3 linked regions of the Rattus norvegicus genome follow. The protein of the gene in region 2 binds, or shares a complex with, the protein of the main gene of each other region. Links are inferred from orthologs where the notes say so. Each region holds a gene or a part of one and is shown on either strand. Other genes may lie near its edges. The genes, in order: Dll4, Notch1 and Poglut1.

Evidence for each region.
Region 1: the proteins of Notch1 (region 2) and Dll4 are in contact, whole or in part, in a crystal structure (PDB 4XLW), measured with the Rattus norvegicus proteins. Residues at the interface, in NP_001099191.1 of Rattus norvegicus: Glu415, Leu418, Ala420, Asn421, Pro422, Glu424, His425, Phe436, Pro447, Arg448, Glu450, Ile451, Asp452, Leu468, Asp469, Gln470, Ile471, Ile477; in XP_006234827.1 of Rattus norvegicus: His65, Thr76, Phe77, Asn109, Phe110, Thr111, Pro113, Tyr180, Ser186, Arg187, Leu188, Lys190, Arg192, His195, Phe196, Tyr199, Lys216, Tyr217, Asp219.
Region 3: the proteins of Notch1 (region 2) and Poglut1 are in contact, whole or in part, in a crystal structure (PDB 5UB5), measured with the Homo sapiens proteins. The link is inferred for Rattus norvegicus from reciprocal best matches to the Homo sapiens genes NOTCH1 and POGLUT1. Residues at the interface, in NP_060087.3 of Homo sapiens: Asn454, Glu455, Cys456, Val457, Asn459, Pro460, Cys461, Gln462, Asn463, Asp464, Ala465, Cys467, Gly472, Glu473, Phe474, Val485, His486; in NP_689518.1 of Homo sapiens: Met103, Phe104, Pro105, Ser106, Arg107, Asp133, Gly170, Pro171, Ala172, Val173, Trp174, Pro178, Thr179, Gly180, Thr214, Asn239, Gln240, Ala241, Val274.

The regions. Positions count from the first base shown.
Region 1 is NC_086021.1:126,773,936-126,777,581, reverse strand, and holds part of Dll4 (delta-like protein 4 precursor), read right to left. Parts: intron 1,729-3,646; coding exon 1,559-1,728; intron 1,385-1,558; coding exon 1,165-1,384; intron 81-1,164; coding exon 1-80. UniProt on the Homo sapiens protein: Involved in the Notch signaling pathway as Notch ligand. Activates NOTCH1 and NOTCH4. Involved in angiogenesis; negatively regulates endothelial cell proliferation and migration and angiogenic sprouting. Essential for retinal progenitor proliferation.
Region 2 is NC_086021.1:29,683,590-29,687,235, forward strand, and holds part of Notch1 (neurogenic locus notch homolog protein 1 precursor), read right to left. Parts: intron 3,302-3,646; coding exon 2,730-3,301; intron 2,539-2,729; coding exon 2,137-2,538; intron 1,298-2,136; coding exon 1,149-1,297; intron 180-1,148; coding exon 1-179. UniProt on the Homo sapiens protein: Functions as a receptor for membrane-bound ligands Jagged-1 (JAG1), Jagged-2 (JAG2) and Delta-1 (DLL1) to regulate cell-fate determination.
Region 3 is NC_086029.1:75,721,052-75,724,697, reverse strand, and holds part of Poglut1 (protein O-glucosyltransferase 1 precursor), read right to left. Parts: intron 1,543-3,646; coding exon 1,443-1,542; intron 1-1,442. UniProt on the Homo sapiens protein: Dual specificity glycosyltransferase that catalyzes the transfer of glucose and xylose from UDP-glucose and UDP-xylose, respectively, to a serine residue found in the consensus sequence of C-X-S-X-P-C.

The sequences.
Region 1 (3,646 bases), about 97 Mb from region 2:
GTGCAGTTCACAGTGGGTGCCTGTGAATCCAGGTCGACAGCGGCAGGTCCGGCTTGGACCTCTGTTCAGGCACTGACCTCCTGTAAGGACACAGGTCCTAAGTCAGCAATAGCCTGTGAATTCCCCGGTGAAGGGAATGAGGCCTCATCCATGAGTTCTTCTACCTCCATGTGTTCAGCCTGCATGAACATAGAGCTCTCTACAAAGAGAACTGTGCAAAGGCTCCAAAGCCCTGGAGATTGCCGTGATTTTTGCTCTCCATGCTTCCGTAGGCTATTGGATAATAGTTACTGGCATCTTAAGAATTTAGGGTAAGACAGATATGCTTGGCCTGATCTCTCTAGCCGGGGATCCGACACCTGTAGCTTTACCTGATCCCTTAGCCTTGGTTTCCTCACCTGCTAAACTGGAGAATTTGATCCTTTCACAGGCAGCTCTGAGGATCAGGTAGGGAAAGACACAAGGTAGAACCACACACAGGAAGCGCTCACTATCCCGCAGGTGCAATTACAATTTAACTTAATCTTCGCACCAAAGACACTTAGTTTCATTTTCCCATTCAGGAATGATGAAACTGTGGCTCAAGGGAGTTGAGTGAGAACAGATTGTGTTGCCACTCCCAGCCCCTTGCTGGCTCCTGAGTGGCTGCCTGCCTGTCTCATAGACCATCACCTGCTGACTAAGTGTACAAAGATTACCAACGTGTTCTGTTAACTTATCAAAAAGCTCTGGGTATTCCAGATTCTTTGTGCTACACTTATTCTAGGGGAGTGTGAGGGAAGATGAGGCCTCAAGGTACAGAGCTCTAACCATCACTGGCCTTCCTTGAGAAGGGATGTGAAGCCTTCAACATCCTTCTTTCTAATTCAAGGCTTGCTCAAGAAGGTCACAAGCTAGCCTCATCAGGTCAAGGCTCATCCATGGAAATAAGAATAGAAATCAGGCGGATGGACACTAACCCTCACCTATGACCCATTGCTGACCTCCTTCTCTAAAGCCCTACCCTGCTTAATGCATAAAGCTCTTCACACTCCAAAGCACAGAGGAGCCCATTTCAGTCAGTCTTCCCAGAGCAGCAGACAGGTCTCTCTCCTCCTGATTCTCTCAGGCTCTCTGACCCTGGGGCCAGTTCATCAGGATAGTAAGGTGAGAGAAAGGGCTTACCATTGGCACAGGGGTTGCTGGTACACCTGTCAACTTTCTTCTCACAGTTGGACCCAGTGAAGTTAGGGGGACACTCGCAGGCATAACTGGCCCCCTGGTTGCGCTCCCGGCAGGAGCCTCCATTGAAGCAGGGTGAATCCGCACAGGTCAAGGTACTGTGTTCACAGTGCTGGCCATAGTAGCCCGGGGGACACAGGCAGTGGTAGCTATTCTCATGGTCCTGGAGAAAGAACATAAACAGGCTAAAGTTAGACCCTGGGGAGAGGACAAGGATAAACGAGGTTGGTGCCTAGCCTCTGCTTGTCCAGAGTGCCCATCCATGCATGCATAAGCAATGACTGCCTAGATGCTACCTGGTTAGACCTGTGCCTTACTGGGCTGATGTGGGTCTCACCTTACAGCTGCCACCATTTCGACAGGGGTTGCTGGCACACTTGCTGAGTTCCAGCTCACAGTGCTCACCAGTGTAGCCTGGGAGACAGGTGCAGGTATAGCCCCTCGGCCCACTGTTGGAGCAAGTTGATCCATTCTTGCACGGAGAGTGGTGAGTGCAGTAATTAAGATCTGTGGAGACAGGGGTTGGGGATTTAGCTCAGTGGTAGAGCGCTTGCCTAGCAAGCACAAGGCCCTGGGTTCGGTCCCCAACTCCAAAAAAAAGAAAAGAAAAAAAAAAAAAAAAGATCTGTGGAGACAGGAAGGAACCAGCTGAGTGGGACCAGGAACTCTTCCCACCTCCATGCAAGGCCACCCTGTATTTGGCCCAAAGAAGCTTAAACTCAAAAGTTTAAGGCCCAAGCATCCCTCCACTCTCTGCTAGTGAAATCCTGAGTGTTAAATCATCTGAAACTACATATAGACTGAATACATATAACAAATGTTGGAAACAAAGCACAATTGGTCAGCGTCCTGCTAGGTATGCTCACAAACACTTCCAGTCAGAGCAGGATCAAGAGGAGGCCCCTAGCCAATGAGGAAGTCGGGAAAGGCTTTACAGAGGAGGTGCAGGCCTGGAAGGACTAGAAGGAGGAATTAAAATCCAACAAGTGAACAGAGTAGGGGGGCAGGGATGAGAGCCACCATAGGCAGTACCAGGCATCTTCTAAAGGAGGTGTTAAAAGTGTATTTTGGGGGCTGAGGATTTAGCTCAGTGGTAGAGCGCTTACCTAGGAAGCGCAAGGCCCTGGGTTCGGTCCCCAGCTCCAAAAAAAAGAACCAAAAAAAAAAAAAGTGTATTTTGAATGATAGCTGTTTGTTTTCTTGTTGGAGAAAAACAAAGAGGGAGAGCCAGACAAAGCAAACAGAGGGACTGTAAGGGTTATGTTTGCGGACAATGAGTATATGGTTGTGTCACCTGGGAGCAAATGTGGATGACAGAAAGGGAAAGAGGTGTGTGTGTGTGTGTGTGTGTGTGTGTGTGTGTGTAGCAGAAAAAGGAGGGAAGTTCTGTGTGTCGGGGGTGGGGGGGGAGAGAGAGAGAGAGAGAGAGAGAGAGAGAGAGGAGAGGGAGAGGAGAGGAGAGGAAGGGAGGGAGGGAGGGAGGGAGGGAAGGAGGGAGGGAGGGAGAAAGAGAGAGAACATAAAAAACATATAAGGGCTGAATGGACTGAATTCCATGCTGGCAACAAGTCAGGACCTAGGCAAGCTTTTTCCAGCTTGGCAAACCCACTCCCCATCCTCTCCAGGTCCATGTGGTGTTGCCATGGCAGCAGGCACAGTGCTTGACCCTGAAAATGGGAGGATGCAGCTGGCTACAGGGATGTAGAAGAAAAGGTCCCTTCTCTAAGGTTGGAGCTCAAAGACTCCTATGTGGGCCCAAGAGTGGAAACCCTCAAATATCAGGTAGAGACCATGTGAGCTTGGGCAGCTGCCTGGCAAGTGTCACTGGGGAAAGGCAGGTGGCTTTGGCCACACTAAAAAGGCAGTTCCATGTTCCCTCTACCTAGAGGCCCAGATTGGCCACAGCCCAGGGTGGCCATCGAGCACACCCCACCACACAGCTGTTTAGGGGAGAGCTGCTCAAACAGCCTTGGAAGGTGAGCAAACACTCGGGGGTTAATAGGTAACTACAAGGCAGAAAGAGGGACAGAGCTCAGCTTCCCTTTCTTTTTAGTCATGCTAGAATTTATGAGTTTGAGCTGCAGGCTGCCAAGCTGTTAGCCCTGGCCTCTTTAGTCACCCTCGCTCTTCAGGGCCTGGAGAAGAATGTCCCACCATCCCTTTATAGGTCCATTGTAAAGAGCCTTTAAAAGCATGAGTGGGCTGTGGTAGAGCTCACAGGTACAGTGCTTGCCTAATATGTGAGACACCCTGAGTTCCATACCTCATACCTTCCCCGCATGCACACGCGCGCGCGCGCGCGGACACACACACACACACACACACACACACACACACACAGTCTGGAGACTTGTCATTGACCAATAATAGAAAAGTCACTTATGGACCACCAAGAAAGGGGTTCAGTCACCATCTCTAGTTTCAG
Region 2 (3,646 bases):
CTTCTTCTTGCTGGCCTCTGACACTTTGAAACCCTCAGGGAACCAGAGCTGGCCATGCTGCCGCCTGCGCTTGCGGGACAGCAGCACCCCACAGCCCACAAAGAACAGGAGCACGAAGGCAGCTGCCGCCACGTACATGAGGTGCAGCTGTGAGGGCAGCGGAGGCTCCACCGTCTCACCTGCGGGCAGGGGCGGCAGGCAAGCACCCCACGTCAGGCGTGGCGATGCTGTGGGCTGGTGGGGGGCGGCGGACTGGCTCCACGGCCAGTGCCTCCTCACCCACTCTCCTCCATCCCACCCCCCAAAATAAGGTCATTTTCTACGTGATTAATCAGAATTGCAAACTATCGCTAAATTCTCTTCTGCACCGGCTGATCTGTCTGGAGACAGTGCTCACTTCTCCCCTTTCGAGAAGGAGGATTAGCGAACTTCAAATCACTGCGCTCGCATTGAGCTGTTAAGACAAAGGATTTAGGGGGATTTTCAAGATACAAACTTCAACACTTCACATGACACCGATCAATTCTTCTCTCTCTCTTTAAAAAAAAAAAAACAACACACACACACACACACACACACACACACACACACACGCACACGCACACACACACAAAACCCCAGTAATGATTTTGAAATAATATCCAACAAAGAAAAATCAGGGGTAGAAAATGGGGAGAGAGGAAAGGCTCCTCCACACTTTCTGGTACATGTATTCATCTTAGGGGGCAGTTTGTACTTATAGTTCCCACCATCCACAGCGGGGAAAGGCCATGGAAAATATTCCAGAAAAGCACTTCCTGAGCTGGGGATGACAACTGGGCACAAGGAGTGAAGAGATGGCCTGCTTGTGACCCTCTCAGACTTTCCTCCACGCAAGGAACCCATCCCCGAAGAGGCAGGGCTGGCAGGGGTAGGGCACTTATTTAAAAAAAAAAATTAATGTGCATGGGTGTTTGGCCTGCATGTATGTCAGGACCCTGTGCACGCTTGGTGCCTTCAGAGGTCAGAAGGTCCTGGGCGCTCTGGAACTGGCGTTACAGAGAGTTATTAAGATGCTGCATGGGTGCTGGGACTTGAACCCAGCTCCTCTGCAACAGCAGCCCGTGCTCTTAACCACTGAGCCGCCCCTCCAGCCCTTGGTCACTCACTCTTTACGGCTTCGATCTTGTAGGGGATATTGAGGCTGCCGAGGGAGGCAAGAGCACCTAGGAAGGCAGCCACATCGGTGGCGCTCTGGAAGCATTGCGAGGATGACTGTACACACTGCCGGTTGTCGATCTCCAGGTAGACGATGGAGCTGAGAACACACAGCACAGTGAGATCAGATACACTCCAGTGTGCTGCGGGCACACAGCTCTGACTCCCTACCTATCTCCCTGACCCCCCGAGGGCATATCAGACAACAGTCCTGCAGTGGAACAGTCTCCCTGCAGCCCCAGTTTTTTAGCACTCGGCAGGGGCTCATTCTATTGTCCAGCCTTGCCCCTTAGGTGCACAGCGCCCCTTTTCCTCACTTCAGAGAACAGATAGCCTCTAGGCATACAATGCCCTCTTGAGAGCAGTGCCTGGTGCCCCACAGAAGTGCAGGGATGCAGTTGTGACTCCCTAGTGGGTAGCTTGAGGCAATAGCAGGCTCAGATGCCAGAGAGCCAGCTCTTTCTTTTTTTTCTTTTTCTTTTTTCTTTTTTTCGGAGCTGGGGACCAAACCCAGGGCCTTGCGCTTGCTAGGCAAGTGCTCTACCACTGAGCTAAATCCCCAACCCCTCCAGGAGACACTCTTATCTCTGCCTCCTCACCGCCACCCTAGGCTCCTCGGCCTTTAAGGCTCAGCAAGAGCGCCCTTGTGTACCCCTCACTCCTCTTCTGTGGTATGGATGAGTCACTACAACTGAGGTGCAGGATTGGCCTAGGATGGCTTAGCCCCAGGGGACATCAGCCTGGTCTCCAACACATGGTACACGGTGGGGCCTGACAGTCACAACGGGCAAACACTGGGCATCCAGCAGAAGGATGGCCTCATCGTTCCTGGTGCTTTCTGACCTTAAGGTAAGGTGAGGTCACAGCTCCAGGGATGAGCTGGTTCGAGAACCCAGGGACACACCGGGAACCAGCCCACAGTGGCAGGAGCTCACTCACCCATGGATGTCCATGGGGTCCAGCTCCCTGCGCTGGCGCCCACCATTGGTGCCAGGAAGCAGTGACGTTGTGGCCCAGCCCACTGCAGAACGCTTGATCGGGTGCTTGCGTAGCTCTTCCTCGCGGCCATAGTAGGGGAAGATCATCTGCTGGCCCTGCGCGTCACGCTTGAAGACCACGTTGGTGTGCAGCACGTGGCTGAGCTCCCGCAGGAAGTGGAAGGAGTTGTTGCGTAGCTGATCGGGCGGAAGCAGCACCACCAGCACCAGTGTGCCGGCTGCCAGTCGCTCGGGGACATGCTCTGCACAGTCCAGTCCATCCCACTCACACTCGGCACTGTTGCAGCCCTGGTCGCAGTGGCCATCACTGAAGTGGTCCTTGCAGTACTGGTCATACAGGGGGCTGAGGAGGTACAGGACGAGGTCAGTCCCATCCCAGCCTGCGGGCCTCAAACCCACCCTAACTGGGCCAGACCTGGGAAATGTGCTCGGTGACCCCCCTAGGGGAAGGGACGGACAGTGGCTTCATGTTCCTGGTATTTGGTTTGGTGCCTCCTGGGCCCTGGGCCTCTGAAGCGACCCAGCCTTACTTACTTGCACTGTCCCTCGGTGAGCTGGCAGTCGAAGCCATCAAAAAGGCAGCCAGCTGAGTTGCACTGGCTGTCACAGTGGCCGTCACTAAAATACTTCCAGCACTGCAGGGACTGAGTGCAGTTCTTCCAAGGGTCATTGAAGTTGAGGGAGCAGTCGCCGCCGTCCCAGCCACACGCGTGATTATTACACTGAAGGTTGCAGACCTTATTGCCTGCATCCTCCTGGCACTCAGGCAGTTCGCAGGCCTCCTCAATCTGTGGCGGGGGAATGTCGCGCCCGGCGCCACCTGTGAAGCTGTAGTCCAGGATGTGGCACAGCAGCCCGTTGAATTTGGCAGGGCATAGACAGCGGTAGAAAGGGCTCTCGGATGTGGGCTCACAGGTGCCCTGATTGTAGCAGGGGTTGCTACCCACACAGGGGCTGCTGGCTGGGAACTGGCATTCAGGGCCAGTGAAGGAGCCCAGGCATAGGCAGGTGGGACTGCGTGGGCCTGAGATGCACGTACCACCGTTGAGGCAGCGCAAACTGCCACAAGTGCGGGCGTCATTTTCACAAGTGGCACCCTCGAAGCCCTGTGGTGGAGAGAGAACGTATGGGTGCATGGATTCAGGGACGTCACATGCACTCTAGCCTAGGCCAGCCACTGTCTGTGATCTGTGAAAGGTGTCCATAGCCTTGCCCTAGTAACGAGGCCCTTGAAAAGTCCTCACCACAGGCAGGTCAGGAGTGCCAAGGGCTTCATATTGGAGGGATATCTGAATGGGTAGAACCCTAGGAGATTTTAGATCCATGAAACCCAAGGCTGATACTGTTACACTGTACGTGTACAAATCCCTGTGTGTCAACACCCATATTAGTGTGTTAACCCTGCATATTAGTGCCAGCTCAGACTGTGACTTTCAACACCTTCCACTCAA
Region 3 (3,646 bases), on a different chromosome or scaffold from region 2:
CATTTCTTTGTTTTTGCTGTCCTTTCTCTGTCTCGTTTTTCACACAGGGTTTCGTAGCCCAGGTTAGGCTCAAAGTCAGTAACTGAGGATGCCCTTGAATTCCTATGCATTTTTTTGTTTCTTTTTTGTTTCTTTTGTCATCTGCTCCTGCTTGATTAAAACTGTGTAAGGCAGGCTAAGGACGAGGCTGGAGAGATGGCTCAGTAGTTAAGAGTTCTTGCTGCTCTTACAGAGGAGCTGGGCTCAGGTCCAAGCTTCCTCCTGGCAGCTTACAAATGTCCACAACTCCAGCAGTCACCAGGCACATATCCATATGTGCACATCCATACTTGCAGGCAAAACACTCATACACAAAATAAAACTTCTAAATTAAACAGTCATGGGCTAATGGTGTATAGCTATAGGATACAGTGTCTGTCTAGCATTCTAAGGCAAGGGTTCAAACCCCAGTACAGCAACACAACAAAAAAGTACAAATGAGACTAATGTAAAAAATGCATCCTTTGCAGATATACACTGAGGTTTCCCTCCATGAATCTTAAAGCTTTCTTCTTATATGCTCTGTTGACATTGCAAACGAGGAAATTAGGACTTTAAGTTCTTTCTTAAGGCAAGAAGTCACAGTCAGGACAGATGGACTTCAAAGCTAAAGGCCGCATTTTTCAGATTTTAGTGAGATGAGGATTCCTGCAACCTGGGCCCCAGATTTAGCTCACTGTTTAAGCTCTCTACGGCCATTGAGAACCATTCATTTAAGTCAGGTGCCCACAGCACCACATAGTGGTATAAAACTCGTGGACTAGATATTTTCATTTTCAAGTGACTGGAATTAAAAAAAGGGAAAGAAAATATTTTTGATATGTGAAAATTACATGAAATGCAGGTGTGGTGGCACATGACTTTAATCCCAGAACTCAGAAGAGGGAGATGGATCTCTGTGAGTTCGAGGCCAGTTCTGCATAGTGAGTTCCAGGACAGCCAGAACTACATTATAACACCGTCTCATAATTAAAAACAAACAAGAAGAAAAAGAAAGTAGAAAGAAAAAATGACATAAAATTCAAATTTCACATGGAATTCCCATTTCACACAAAATTCAAATTTTGGTGGCTATAAATAATAGCTAGAATAGTCGCACTGGAGCTGCTCCACTGCTCCCTCGCTGCCACAGCAGGCCAGGCGGTAAGGCCCTGGGTAGCCCCACAGTTAGATCTGGCCGCTCCCAGGAAAGACTTATAAACTCAGCTCTTTAGGGTTACTGACACTTAGCACAGCGGGCAAGGCCCGGAGACGGCGGTTTACACGAACGCTAGCACCACTGCACGGGGCCTGCTCTGCACTCATCTCACCACCGAGAGGAAACCTAATCTCAAACGCTACCCAGAGGGCAACGTTCTTAGAGTCAGCGCTGCCGCGGTTCGATTCAGACGGTAGCTGATTACTTTCATAGACTTCCAGGCCTGGTTTTTGGTGTATTCTGCATCAACGAGTTTTGGATTTTTCCGAGAGAGAAGAATGAGAGGATCTCTTTCAGGGCTTGTCCTACAGAGAAAATACAGAACATAAATCTATGTGGCCTACACCGTAATGTTCCCAATCCCTGAGCAGCCCTTGGCCAGCACGGTGGCTACTGGCACAGATGGGCAGGTAGTCACTGAGTCTGGGACAGTGAAGGAAGAGGGTCCAGTGCAGCATCTTGGTTGCTCAGGCTATCCCCGCTTTACCCATCAAAGACGGGGAGCGTCAAGTCTTCCTTTGCTTACATCTAGGTTTACTGTTTGTTTTAAAACAGAATCTCCTATAGCCCATTTGTGGTCATTTGGATATGCTTGGCCCAGGGAGTGTAGCACCATCAGGAGGTGTGGCCTTGTTGGAAGTGTGTCACTGTAGGGGTGGGCAATGAGACCTTCCTCCTAACCATGTGAGGGGCAGCCTTCTCCTAATGGCCCTCAGATGAAGATATAGAGCTCTCAGCTCCTCCTGCACCATGGCTGCCTGGATGCTGCCATGCTCCCGCCTTGATGATAATGGACTGAACCGGTAAGCCAGCCCCGATTAAATGTTGGCCTTATAAGAGTTGCCTTGGTCATGGTGTCTGCTCACAGCAGTAAAACTCTGAGACACCATGCTACCTTCAAGCTCACTATACAGCCAAATGTGGCCTTGAATTCCTGACCCTGATTAGTGAACTCTCAATCACTGCTATTCTAAGTGGAAGCTACCACCTCTGGGTGGCATCTGATCTTAAAGAGTATGATTGTACTGGCTAGTTTTATGTCTGCCTGTTAAAAGCAAGAGTCATTGGAGTGGAGGGAGCCTTAGTTAAGAAAAATGCCTCCATAAGATCTAGCTTAAGACATTTCTTTAGTGATCAATGGGGGAGGGCACAGCCCATTGTGGGTGGTCCTGCCACTGGCTGAGATGATGGTTCTGAGTTCTATAAGGGAGCAGGCTGAGCAAGGCAGTAGGAGCAAGCCAGTTAAGTAACATCCTTCCATGGTCTCTGCATCATCCCCTGCCTACAGGTTCCTGCCCTGTGTGAGTTCCTGCCTTCATGGCTTTTGATGATGAACTGTTTGTTATATGGAACTGTGAGTGAAATTAACTTTTTCCTCCCCAAGTTGCTTTTGGTAATGGTTTTTCATCACAGCAATAGTGTCCCTAACTAAGACAATGATGTTCTGGTCACTATATATCTATTTCAGGGAATGGTTTTCCTTTTTGGAAGGTTCATCCAATGCCTACGATCACTGCTGTTCACAGCTGTGTGGCTACATGATTGCTGCCTACCAGAATAGCCTTCGCTGTGAATGCATTGTAGAGTCCAGTATAACACTGCAATTTGAAAAACAAGCCGGGGGGTTGGGGATTTAGCTCAGTGGTAGAGCGCTTGCCTAGCAAGCGCGAGGCCCTGGGTTCGGTCCCCAGCTCCGAAAAAAAGAAAAAAGAAAAAGAAAAAGAAGAAGAAAAAAAAAGAAAAAACCCACACCCGCGGATCCCGGCCCGCAGCAGCTCTCTGCTCCCAGACCCTGTGGGAAAGAGACCTCACCGCCTGGTCAGGTGGGCACTCCTAAGGCTGCAGAGCGGAAGAGACCACCAACACTGCCCACCCCTGCCCACATCCCTGGCCCAAGAGGAAACTGTATAAGGCCTCTGGGCTCCCGTGGGGGAGGGCCCAGGAGCGGCAGGACCCCTGTGCGTGAGACACCACCAGAACCAGAAGGAAACAGACCGGATAAACAGTTCTCTGCACCCAAATCCCGTGGGAGGGAGAGCTGAACCTTCAGAGAGGCAGACAAGCCTGGGAAACCAGAAGAGACTGCTCTCTGCACACACATCTCGGACGCCAGAGGAAAACACCAAAGGCCATCTGGAACCCTGGTGCACTGAAGCTCCCGGAAGGGGCGGTGCAGGTATTCCTGGTTGCTGCCGCCACAGAGAGCCCGTGGGCAGCACCCCGCGAGCGAACTTGAGCCTCGGGACCACAGGTAAGACCACCCTTTCTGCTGCAAGAAAGCTGCCTGGTGAACTCAAGACACAGGCCCACAGGAACAGCTGAAGACCTGTAGAGAGGAAAACTACACGCCCGAAAGCAGAACACTCTGTCCCCATAACTGACTGAAAGAGAGGAAAACAGGTCTATAGC